Lepisosteus oculatus: one gene and its partners. The protein of the gene in region 1 purifies or fractionates together with the protein of each later gene. This does not show direct contact. Links are inferred from orthologs where the notes say so. Each region holds a gene or a part of one and is shown on either strand. Other genes may lie near its edges. The genes, in order: fbl, rrp9 and snu13b.

Region 1 (3,752 bases):
ACCGCCTCGGTCCCCGAACCCGCCTCGTCCGCGGCCTCCGAATCCTCCTCCTCCTCGGTCTCCGAATCCTCCTCCTCCTCCTCGGTCTCCGAATCCTCCCCTCCCGCCTCTCGGACTGAAGCCTGCCGGGAGAGAACCACAGGAGAGGGGGTTACTCGCCCCATCGTAGAGCCGCCCGAGAGAACCACACAGCGCAGGGCCTGTCCAAGTGCGTCCGCAGGGCTGTCCAGTCAGTGCGTGTGCAGGGCCGGTCAGTGCGTCCGCAGGGCTGTCCAGTCCTGCTCCTGGAGAGCCGGTCAGTGTGTCTGCAGGGCTGTCCAGTCCTGCTCCTGGAGAGCCGGTCAGTGTGTCTGCAGGGCTGTCCAGTCCTGCTCCTGGAGAGCCGGTCAGTGTGTCTGCAGGGCTGTCCAGTCCTGCTCCTGGAGAGCCGGTCAGTGTGTCTGCAGGGCTGTCCAGTCCTGCTCCCGGAGAGCCGGTCAGTGCGTCCGCAGGGCTGTCCAGTCCTGCTCCTGGAGGAGCCGGTCAGTGCGTCCGCAGGGCTGTCCAGTCCTGCTCCTAGAGGGCCTGCAGACACACTGACTGGCCCTCCAGGTCTCTTAAAGGCAGTATCGACTGGAGAGCCAGGAGAGGCTGTGCAATTGGCCCAGTTAAATCAGCACTCAGCCGGCTCAGCTCCTCAAGAGCTCAGTGGGGAAGAACACCCTCAGACACTCCAGCTGCCCGGGACCAGGGCTGGACACCCCTGGGAGCGATGTAGGGAAGCACTGCAACACCAAAGTGTGCAGCTGCACAAGTCCTCCCCCACCCCCCCACAAACCACACTGCAGGACGGCAGCTTCTCCTGTCTCACTAACTTGTCTTCTAGACACAGGACCAGACCGCCGACACGCTCCTTGACTGGACACTGTAACGGTCTGCAAAGCGCGAGTTCCAATAGTTTAAAACGGGCAGCGGCCAGGCCACCGGACTCATCGGCTGACTCGCACAGGCTGCGGGTCCGAGTCCCAGGTAGAGACAGTGCAGCTGCTGTCCTGTGCGGGTGCGGCACCCCGACCGAAGCGGTAAAACACCCCGACTAAACCGGCACACGTGCGCCTCGCCCTCGACAGACACGCCAGTGTCAACATCACCGTCAGCAGCTGCGAAACATGTACCACGTGGGGCCAATGAACCCGACATGAAAGGGCATTTAAAAAGCGAGAACCGGACGCTTTTCTTTACACGGAGGGAGGTAGGGGTGTGGAACAAGCCGCCGAGCCACGTCGCTGAAGCCGATTAAAAGCAGCTGAAGAAGGTCCTGGGTTCAATTAGCTGTTAAGCTGACGGACTAAAGGGGCTCCTCTTACTTCCCTTACTTACTTTTCAACTGCGAGACACTGACCCGAGCCCGGGAGATCCTCTCCGATCCGTAATCGATCACAATTAGCGCTAGAAGACGCTTTTCGTTTTACAGACTTTGGAACATCGCTAGGAAGCGCACGTTTAAATCGGACGTTTTTCTAAAAGTTCGAGCATGCAAGGAATCGGTCTGTGCGCTCTCACAAGGACCCCACGTCTCCCCACACCAAGCACATGGCCGCGGCACTGAAAACGATCCCCTCGCACGAAAACGGCCATCGCAATCGTTGTGTTGTTGTTGTTGTTGTTTTTTTGGCATTTGGCTTCGCTTAACGCCAAAAGACACCCGCTTCCTTCCGAAATTCACGCCAGAACTCAAATCACGAGCAGGAGAGAGCTACAGGGCCGACAGCAATCCAAGCCAAAACATCAGTTAACGCTGGATCCAAACTGAGCGACGAACTAGTCCAGCACGCTGCGCCCAATACAAACACATTAACTAGCGTCCCAGCTGCTCACGGCAACAGGAACAGCGGGGAACTGTTGAAATTCCGTCTAAATCGTGCACGCCGCGTCAAGTAATCGTCTGGAAGTTACTAAAATGAGCCTAAAACAGATCCTAAACCTCCGGCGTGCGCAGGCCACGACCCCCCGTCCGCCACCGAGAAACTCTCCTCTTCTGCACGAACCAGCTGGCTTTAACTTCGAAATGCGACTTAAGAAAATAGGAGCCTCCGAACAAGGCAGACACCAAACTCGGAGCGGGTGGTCTTTACGGCGCTTGAAGGCATTTTTGCCTTTTATTATCACGTTTTGTTTTCGGAGGGTGATTTGTCTCCGGCCCCGGTGAGACTCGGAGGACAGGAGCGGCGGAGCTCCGTGTTTTTACCTCCCGGGTCGTTTTTTTTTTCCCCCTTTTAACGCGTCAGAGGATCGCGGATCTGCTTACCTGGCTTCATGTTCGCGTCTCGGGATGTATCGCTGCAACGACCTGGGCGCAGAAATCGGATGAGTTGTGTCGCCGCTCCGCTCTCCGTCCTCCGCACTCGGGCGCTCGCTGTCTCTCTCTCTCCTGCTCACACGTGCTGCGTCCGCACCACATGGGCCGGCGGCGGAAGTTCCAAGCCCGCGCGTCCGAGCGCTTCCTCTCGCCGGCGTCGCCCACAGCGCCCCCTACCTCGGAGGACACACACTGCAGGCCGCTCTCCACCTCGGGTCCCCCACAAAGCTGTGTTTCGGGAACTGGAAATACAGCTTTTGGTATTTTGGTATATTTGGAAATACAACTGGAAATACGACACCTGAAGAAGGCTCCACGGCCGAAACGTTGTGTTCTCTTTCTTCTTTTTTTCAGCATGGAATAAACCTATTACTTGTTATTTTTCGGAATTTTTTGTCTTCGAAACCTGTACTTGAAACCCATTGAAACCATCTTCAACTTTTTTTGTTCCGTGCACTTAAAACATCTTATTGTGGCCGGAACTTATTCAGTCTTACTCTAGTTGAAGCTTACACGTAAGCCTAGTACGCTTTACCTTTTAAAAAAGCTCCACCATGGATTTCAAATGAGACTTTGTGCTGTTAAATTACTGTGCCGCCTCAAAGATCTGCGCAAGCTCAGTGAGTCCTAAGTGTTAACTGAACAGGATCTTGTTCAGTGGGATAGGTTTATGAATTGTTAAATGCTATACTCCTTTTTTACAGTTTCGAAATGGTTACTTCTTGTGTATCGTTATCAGTTTCTTTATGATGGCGATGTGATTATAAAAGTATTCTCCTATGATGTTTTAGGTGTTTTGAAATGCAGTTGGGTCGCCCTCTAGTGGACGGGGGGGGAGGGTGGCTCAGAACTGTTTATTTTTACAGTTCGACTAGACTGATATTTCAAAGTTCTCTCGAAGAACATTAAACACATTAAAGCAGTGATACGAACGAGGGCAGTGAGGGACACCGAGCTTCATCAAGGCAGCCAGAACAAGGTGATCGCAGCACGGAGGAACCCATTTTCAGCAATAATACTTTTATTTACAGACCTGATTAATAGAATTGTGCTTGAGCTTTGTTGGATAACACTTAAAACACAGCACTACAATAATAATAATAATAATAATAATAATAATAATAATATGCTCCATGAATCTGTTAGAAAAGACACTGCTTTATGACAATGTAATATGGCACAGCAGAAATAAGTTTTGTTTGCTGAAGCCCCATCATGGATTGAGATTACTGTAGGTTTAGTGGCACAAAGAGTAGATTCTGCTAAAGAGGTGACAGATATTTAGCCCTGTCCAGTACAAACACGAAGCTGCACCGTCTGCTTAACATGAAACCATCCTTCTCAGGGCCTCCTAAAACAGGCCCGCTCGATCCTGCAGTCCAGGCCCGTCTCCGGGGTTCAGACGATCGCAGAC
Region 2 (3,752 bases), on another chromosome or scaffold:
TACTTGTATTATTTCAAAATCTCAGTCTTGGGAACGGCTGCACTGATTGAACTGTGGTAAATTTAATAAACACCCAAATCGGTGACATATTTGAAACTATATTGGTTTAAATTATATTGTGATAATCTGCTTATCACTCACAGTGAGTCACCAAACTCTTGATGAAGTATGTTCCATACTGCAAACCACTCCTCTCTGAAAACTGACCTGATAACCACACTTAATAATTACCAATCAAGCACACCTACAATTAAAATAAATTAAGCAAAATGTTCTCAGAGTAATCCAGGATGGTTGGATGAAGACCTTTTTGTTCTCATATTCAAGACGTAATCTGTTCTACACTGATTTAGCTACTTAATTATACATTTGACAGAAATCATCCCTGACATATTGGGATTTGAGTTTTCAGAAAAACTTGATTTACAAAGCTAGGCCTTGGAGAACACACTGTGTAAATGTCAAACTACTATTGTTCAAAAACTTATTTGGCAGTTAAGACAAAACTTGAGAAGTATAATCCTGGGGACAATAAAATTAAAATGTGGCACAATGGTAACTGACAATTCAATTCTGAATTCAGTAGTCAGGTCTGCTTTCCTTGTGAAAAAATACTAAGGCCAGTGAACTTCAGAATTGTCAGTTACAATCCTAGCCAGTTAATAATTTGGCAATAATAACGCAGGAAAAACAAAAAGGTGGCCTGAGCCTGAGCAGTATTCCATAAGACCCAGTAAATCAACTGATCTGAAACTTAGCCAAAACAAGAAACATCCAAATACACATCATCTTAGATTTGATGCAAAAAACCTGACACAAATTTAGAATTCTGTTTAAAAATCTGTGAACCTAATTAAATCCAAACTTGTGTTAACTGGTCATTCTGTTATCACTTCTGTATTGATCATTTTGTAAAGTTCAGCCTTGGATGGAAATTGGAAACTAACTGCTTTTGTTGAAAAATGGCCAAACTTTTATGCACCATGCGTGCATCATAGGATTCACATTTCCCAAACTTTTGTTTCTACATAACAAAATTGCTGTGCTGATGATAATCAAAATATTACGTAATCTTCACAGTGTGGCAATTTTTTCAGTCAATTATAATTAACCGAGGTGGGTATAACCATGGTGAAAACCTATTTATATAAGGATAAATATTGATATCCCCAATTATAACACTCACGCTGACAATTTATTTTTAATCTTACTTTTGTCTAACAATATTATACCAAGATATTTTCACAAGTCTTTTCTCAGAATGTATATAAAACATGCCTGGAAAAGATGACCCTTCTACCTTAGTCTGTATTTCTGGAGAAGATACTGAAGCCGTTTATTATGGGTGCAGCAACATTTTCATCAGGCTAGTATCAGTGGTGAACATTGTAAATGTTCAAAGTAAATTTGATTCGAGGTACAAAAGATTACAGTGATTGTGTTGAAAGTGACAGAACTTGTTTGGAAGCCAACTCTGCCGCTTATAGTTCTAGGTTTAAATGATCCACCTCACCCTTCTGTCTCTGACTCGCTGGAAATTTCTTCATTAGCTCCAGAATTTACTTTTTTGGCGCGCCCTTTACTCAAACCATCACCGTCAGCCTTAAAGGATGAGAAACAAAAAACACTATTTTTTAAGTAACTGAATTAGAAGCATCCATTGTAACGTACTGTATGACATACAGACTACATAAGCGTACTCTGCTGAGCATCCGAAGAAACCACGTATAACAGCAACAAGTTCATAAAGTTATCATCAGGAAAACTGTAATCTGTAGCAGAGTCATTTGAATTTGGTTGAACAGACACATGTAACTTCATTATGCCGATCAACGTTTGTCACCAACAGGAATCCTCAAAATAGGGAGGGCTTCAGCTATCGGAAGGAATACAAGCTGTGCATCTGCGTTTCATGGACACAAGATCGAAGATGCTGCCCCCATTGCTCTCGTACAGTCTGAATATGCAATGTGCCTCTTCACTTGTCTGTGAGCTCTACAGGACACAAATCGTCCGAGCTAATTCCACAGATGTTTAATGACCCATCTCTATCAAGTAATAGAAACCAAGGCATAGCTATTGCATATGTCGCAATATAGATTTTGCCCCTGTGCAATGCAACGACATTCTGAGATCAGCAAACACAGGCGAGGGAATGGGAAGACTCAAGACCTCTGTCCTTGTAGAACCTTTCTATATAAAAACGAAACATTTTTTCCAGTTGAAATAATGTATAGGCAATGAGCAAAACATGCGTTTCAAGCAGGTCATATATCGCATTGCTGATAACTCTCGGTCAGCATCTGAAACGTCCTGTTTTTATTAAGAATTTGTGTTGGCTTCATTTATACTGGATATTCGCAGTTAACTTCAAGCAATAGCGGTTTCACAGCACAACAGTGATTTGAAATGAGTGAGTGAAGTATACCTAAACTAGAAGATATTAGTGCATTCGCCGCTTAAGAATTCATACATCCATTTTAATGTTTTTCTTTTCGTTTTCCTCCTGTGCACTCCAAACGAAATAACACATAGTTGGAAGGTGCTCATTTGATAGGATTTTAAAAAGCAAATTGTTTATTTTGACTACCCTGTAAAATCTGCAATCTAGATTAAATAAAAACATAACCGGGATTTTCAAGTAGTAGCAAAAAAAACTTACCTTCCTTTTAATAACTCTAGTACTGCCCGCTTTTTTAGTAGGCTTCGCGTTAACTTTCTTCTTGATGAAGAAGGAAGACATACTTCCAGACAATATGATTCTTTATTTAACGATTTTAAGAAAAAAAACCAAGTAAAATAGTTGGAATTCAATATTTCAGTCTGTTAATCAACATTAGAACCACATTGGCACCGTCCACGTGCATTCAAACTGGACCTCACTCACCACGCCTTTCCAGTAAAGCAGGTAATTGATTGGATATTAAATACTTTAACTCCGTCTTCGTTTTTCTATTGAATCGCAACGTGCCCTTTCCCACCTACCAGATTTCGATTGGTGCATACATTACACCACATTTAAGGGTAGGTTGTGGCGGAAATGCATCCGGTGAAATAATGAAACCGTGAGAAACGAAAAGTAAGAAACACAGTTCCGGGAAATACCGAGCAAATTCTTGGACAGTACTTGTTAAACATTATAGATGTTTTTGAATTCTTTGATTGTAAAATGTCCAACAAATAAAAATGTAGTCGAAAGTGATTTCCAGGCTGATTTCGTTCCTTGTGCAATGTTATGAATTATTCATAAAAAAATCTGAAATTTTAGCACTGTCCATAGAAATAGTAACACTACGTGATAGGAGTTCGTCCTAACCTAGTTTGATGTGCATAATGTGTTGGGATTTGCAATGATCTCGGGTTTGAGAATAGGAGAGGGTTGTCAGCTTCGGTCTTGAGTTGGGGCGGTGGGGGCATTTATAATAGTTAAAAAGAATGAAAATGTCCCAATGCTGTTGCAATGAAATAAAAAAAAATCGAAGAGATAACTTTCGTGTTTCAGGCACTGTAAAAAAGACAGCAGAAATACATACAGTAGTTACTACTGCAGTATAACTGCTCAAAATGTAGACTTCGAGGAGCACTAATGTAGAAGTGGTAAAACAATATACACTCGCGAATATTTGTACATGTTAAAATGCTCTTTGTGAAATTCGGACTTTGAAACACATTACATCATTACATCAGTCAATTATATGCAATTATATGCAAATTAATGAAGCTACAAAAACAGGCAGTAAGCCAAAAGCGTA
Region 3 (3,752 bases), on another chromosome or scaffold:
CAGTCCAGCAGAGCGGCACACGAGACTCGTCTTCCTGATGCAAGATGAGATTAGTAGGAAATGCATGGTCCACTTTGGAACTGGACAGATTCCAGTCATTAAAGGCATTGTTCACTTATACCCCAATCCACTGCAATCCATCTGCCAAACTTACCTTCCAGATGTGGCTTTAGATTTTCCCCCAAGTTGAAGGTCCATTGGTCATCAGGTACCTTTCAGAGCTGCATTGCTACTGAATCTTTAGTTTGAATCTCGAAATGTCATACCCTCTAAAACTTGATCATTTTTGTTTTAAATTCACTGCAACACTGAAACTTAAATTTTATTTTTAATAGTCTAAAAAAAAAACAGCATCCAATTTTTTTTTTCCCCAAGTTACACTTATTCCATTGACAAATACTGTAAACAGATTGGAATGACAGGACAACAGCCAAGTCCATTCACTCTGGGAACCAGGGGCAGAGGATAATTCACTTCATCCCTCCCCAACTATATACATACTTTCAAGAACATCGTTTCTCACCCTCGTCTTGTGGGCCAAGCTAAAGTAAATCAACAGTGCTACTCTGCCCTCTCAGACCAGGAGTCTCTCGATCGCCATCTGCACAGACTGGATCTGGGGCTTGAGCTGGGAGCCCTCCTTGATGGTGACGGAGGTGGCGATGACGGGCCGGGAGACGCCACAGGCGCGGCCCAGGGCCTGCTTGGAGCGCACGAAGACGTAGGGCACGTTCTTGTCCTCGCACAGCAGCGGCAGGTGGAGGATGATCTCGAGGGGCTCGGCGTCGGCGGCCATCACGATGAACTCCGCGATGCCGCGGTTCAGGGTTTTAGTGGCTGGTGGGGGGAAAAACAAGTCAGAAATTTAAGCACAACAGGTTGTTTTCATTTAAATGTACCCAATTCCTTGCACTTGCAGTATAATGAAGTGGGAAGTTAAAAAAAAACATCAAATTTATGATGCACAATGCCAGGAGCTCCTGAAAGTCTGGATGTGCTTAATGTGATTTAAAGGCTCATTTGAAGGACGCTTCAAAATACTGCTGCTGCTGCTGGCTATGTGAACGCAGCAACAACATACGTCCTTAAGACAGACGCAGGCAGTTTTATCGTCTATTCCTGTTCTCCGACATTGTCCAGTTGTCTTTGTGGACCATGCATGAAAGGAGATGCATTTTCCACTTTTATCATACCAGCTGACCTGCTAGGGCCATGCACTTTCCACAGCTCAAAGACCCACAGTCAGGCCCCTGAAGAGAGTGGTTGTGGTACTAAACCAAACTTTTATTCCCCTCTGTTCATGCAAGTTAAAAAAAAAGAGAGCCAAAGAACCATCTAGCAGTCAAGCTAGATCAAAGCACGGGCCTCCTGACCTTCATTGGCTCCCTTCCTCAGCTGCTTGTAGTTGGCTGCCTGCTGCACCAGGTCCAGGATGGTTTTAGTCAGTGTGGCATCAGCCAGGGGGTAGGCCTTGGGGTTCACTTCCGGGTCAGTCTGAGGAGACAGGAAGCGGGTGTCAGAACCCTCGATTAAGAATTCTCCTCGTGCACTCACGGCTCATCCTGTCCAACACTAATGAACACTACTGGGACAACATTCTCACACACTTATAATCACACGCTTTCACTATCTCTTACTTATTCCATAAAAGTAGACTAGATCGCTGCAGAACCGTAAACCCAATCCTAGTCTGGATTAGTGATGAGACAAATAAACACCGCATTAATAAACTGAACCACCCCTCGTTTTTCGAATCAACAAGATTCGTAATAAACCCCAGCCTATTTCAAAACGCCTTTAAAAGGCACGTGATGGAGAGCGCTATAAACCAAGATCCACCGCATACAACCCCACCAGTCCGATTTTAGTGCGCTGTGAAAAACCAAGCCATTCGTTAGCACACAAAAAAAAGCATCGCCTGTACTTAGCCGACAATTCAAGCACGACCATCCAGTCAGCACCGAGACACGTGGTTCGGAGCTCCAGCAGCCCGCACAAACACGCCACCTCTCCCGTCCCCGGCTGCCCCACGGTTCACGGCCACGCAGGCCCGATCCGAGGCGGTGGACGAGCAGGGTGGACCGGAGTCCGGAAGGGCTCGGCCAAGAGAGAGCCACGGCTACACGCCGTGCGAGAGACGGGCTGGGAGTCTGGTTGTCGGCCGCCTCTCCGCGCCGGGAGGGATCATAATTAACCGCCCGGGTCGCTTGCTTACCATCGCTACAGCAGGAGATCAGACAAACGGACAATCTGGGTTAATTCTTGTGTCCTCTCGGCGTGTGCTTCACAGAGGACCTTTCACAAATATGTTGTTTTTCGGTGGTGGTCACAACAGCACTAAGCAGCCCGTCAACGTCCCGCCAGCGTTTATTGACCCCCACAATGCCACAGGAGAGACATGTGCGCGCACATTAATACACTCGGAAGCGGAAGTACGCCAGGAGATTTCTGCGTACCCTTGAAAAGGAACGGCGAGGAAACATGAGCGCATTGACGTTGGTTCTGCTATTGTAATGAAAATATCTATTGGGACCAAGAAATGAATAATCGAATTCTTTTTGCTTAAGATGTATGGAGTCACATTTTAAATTATTTGTTTTACAGTATTGAAAGTATGCACGGAAAACGTCCGAATAAGACTACCTCGGGTAGACACAGTTGAAACTAATATATTATATGGAAAAAACATTGCTTTAAAATGCATCAGAAGTTTTAGAAATCACATCATCATGTGCTAGAGAGGTATATACATTTAAGTCTTGCTGTTTTGTTGAGTGCAGTTGCATCGGGACAGTTAGTGCACAGAGATGAACACTATCATTCTACTCATCGGTCATGTCAATAAAGCATGTTGAATTGAATTGATGAGGAAACTATGCGCTTCGTAACTCAATCTATCCCACCATTCCCCGGGCAAACACATAAGACATTGTTTAAAGTGAATATCGACTGAACATTTCGAAGAAGACTTTAGGAAACTGATCATCATTGTGATTTAATACAGACAAGACGAGCGACAGAAAAGCGGACAAGCTGGGTCGGTCGAGCCAGGATGGCGGGATACGGAGCCCAGTTTCAGAGCCGTACATTAAGCCCCGCAGTGATACCGTGCCACGCTATCTGTCTTCTGATTGGCTAAAAGGAGCGCGGTGGCGCCTGGGTAGGACGTCCGGCGGCCATATTGTGTTCTTGCAGCGGCTGAAGGAGAGACAGTCAGTCATGAAGGGGATTCGGTGTCTAAATCACATTTCAGTAAGAGTCTGCTTATGTCCGACAATTGCCGATTTAAATGAAATTGTTTGGGTCCATTGCATCTGTCCTGAGAATCAGCTTGATTTGTGGCGGAAGAAAACTAGCTGTGTCGTTGAAACCCGGCCTGTGTTGAGCGACATTGCACGGAGTACAGCACCTCAGAGAGGTGTCATTAGCTGTAAATGAAATTAAAAAAGTATTTAAGAAATGTATTCCATCATGACCCAGGCTAACTAAACAGAGTTGTTTAAAATTGCGTTGCCAAATCGTACATGTTCACAAGAAGCGGTTTGCCTTGAAGGGATACGGTGGGCTGGAGTGTCGGAAGTACTGGTTTGTGGATTCTCTAAGAAAGCTGTAGTGAAGGTCATTTATGTATTCCCGTTTTAGCCATCTGACTCGTATCTCCACCTGAGGTCTCGCTGTAACGTGGATGGTCTCCATGAACAGCGTCCACAGAGCACCGGTCGAATTCAGACGGGCAGATCTGGTGTGTCTAA

The links.
Region 2: the proteins of fbl (region 1) and rrp9 purify together in Homo sapiens (affinity purification with mass spectrometry; 3 studies listed by BioGRID and IntAct, counting the BioPlex papers as one, with this or other methods). This does not show direct contact. The link is inferred for Lepisosteus oculatus from reciprocal best matches to the Homo sapiens genes FBL and RRP9.
Region 3: the proteins of fbl (region 1) and snu13b purify together in Homo sapiens (affinity purification with mass spectrometry; 5 studies listed by BioGRID and IntAct, with this or other methods). This does not show direct contact. The link is inferred for Lepisosteus oculatus from reciprocal best matches to the Homo sapiens genes FBL and SNU13.

The regions. Positions count from the first base shown.
Region 1 is NC_090722.1:9,619,360-9,623,111, reverse strand, and holds the start of fbl (rRNA 2'-O-methyltransferase fibrillarin), read right to left. Parts: upstream 2,455-3,752; 5' UTR 2,298-2,454; coding exon 2,288-2,297; intron 123-2,287; coding exon 1-122.
Region 2 is NC_090699.1:53,426,130-53,429,881, reverse strand, and holds the start of rrp9 (U3 small nucleolar RNA-interacting protein 2), read right to left. Parts: upstream 2,925-3,752; 5' UTR 2,744-2,924; coding exon 2,663-2,743; intron 1,603-2,662; coding exon 1,514-1,602; intron 1-1,513. UniProt on the Homo sapiens protein: Component of a nucleolar small nuclear ribonucleoprotein particle (snoRNP) thought to participate in the processing and modification of pre-ribosomal RNA (pre-rRNA).
Region 3 is NC_090714.1:16,498,060-16,501,811, forward strand, and holds snu13b (NHP2-like protein 1), read right to left. Parts: upstream 2,412-3,752; 5' UTR 2,219-2,411; coding exon 2,216-2,218; intron 1,495-2,215; coding exon 1,374-1,494; intron 838-1,373; coding exon 575-837; 3' UTR 316-574; downstream 1-315. Other genes in the region: cytochrome b-c1 complex subunit 2, mitochondrial, read left to right, coding at 3,220-3,252.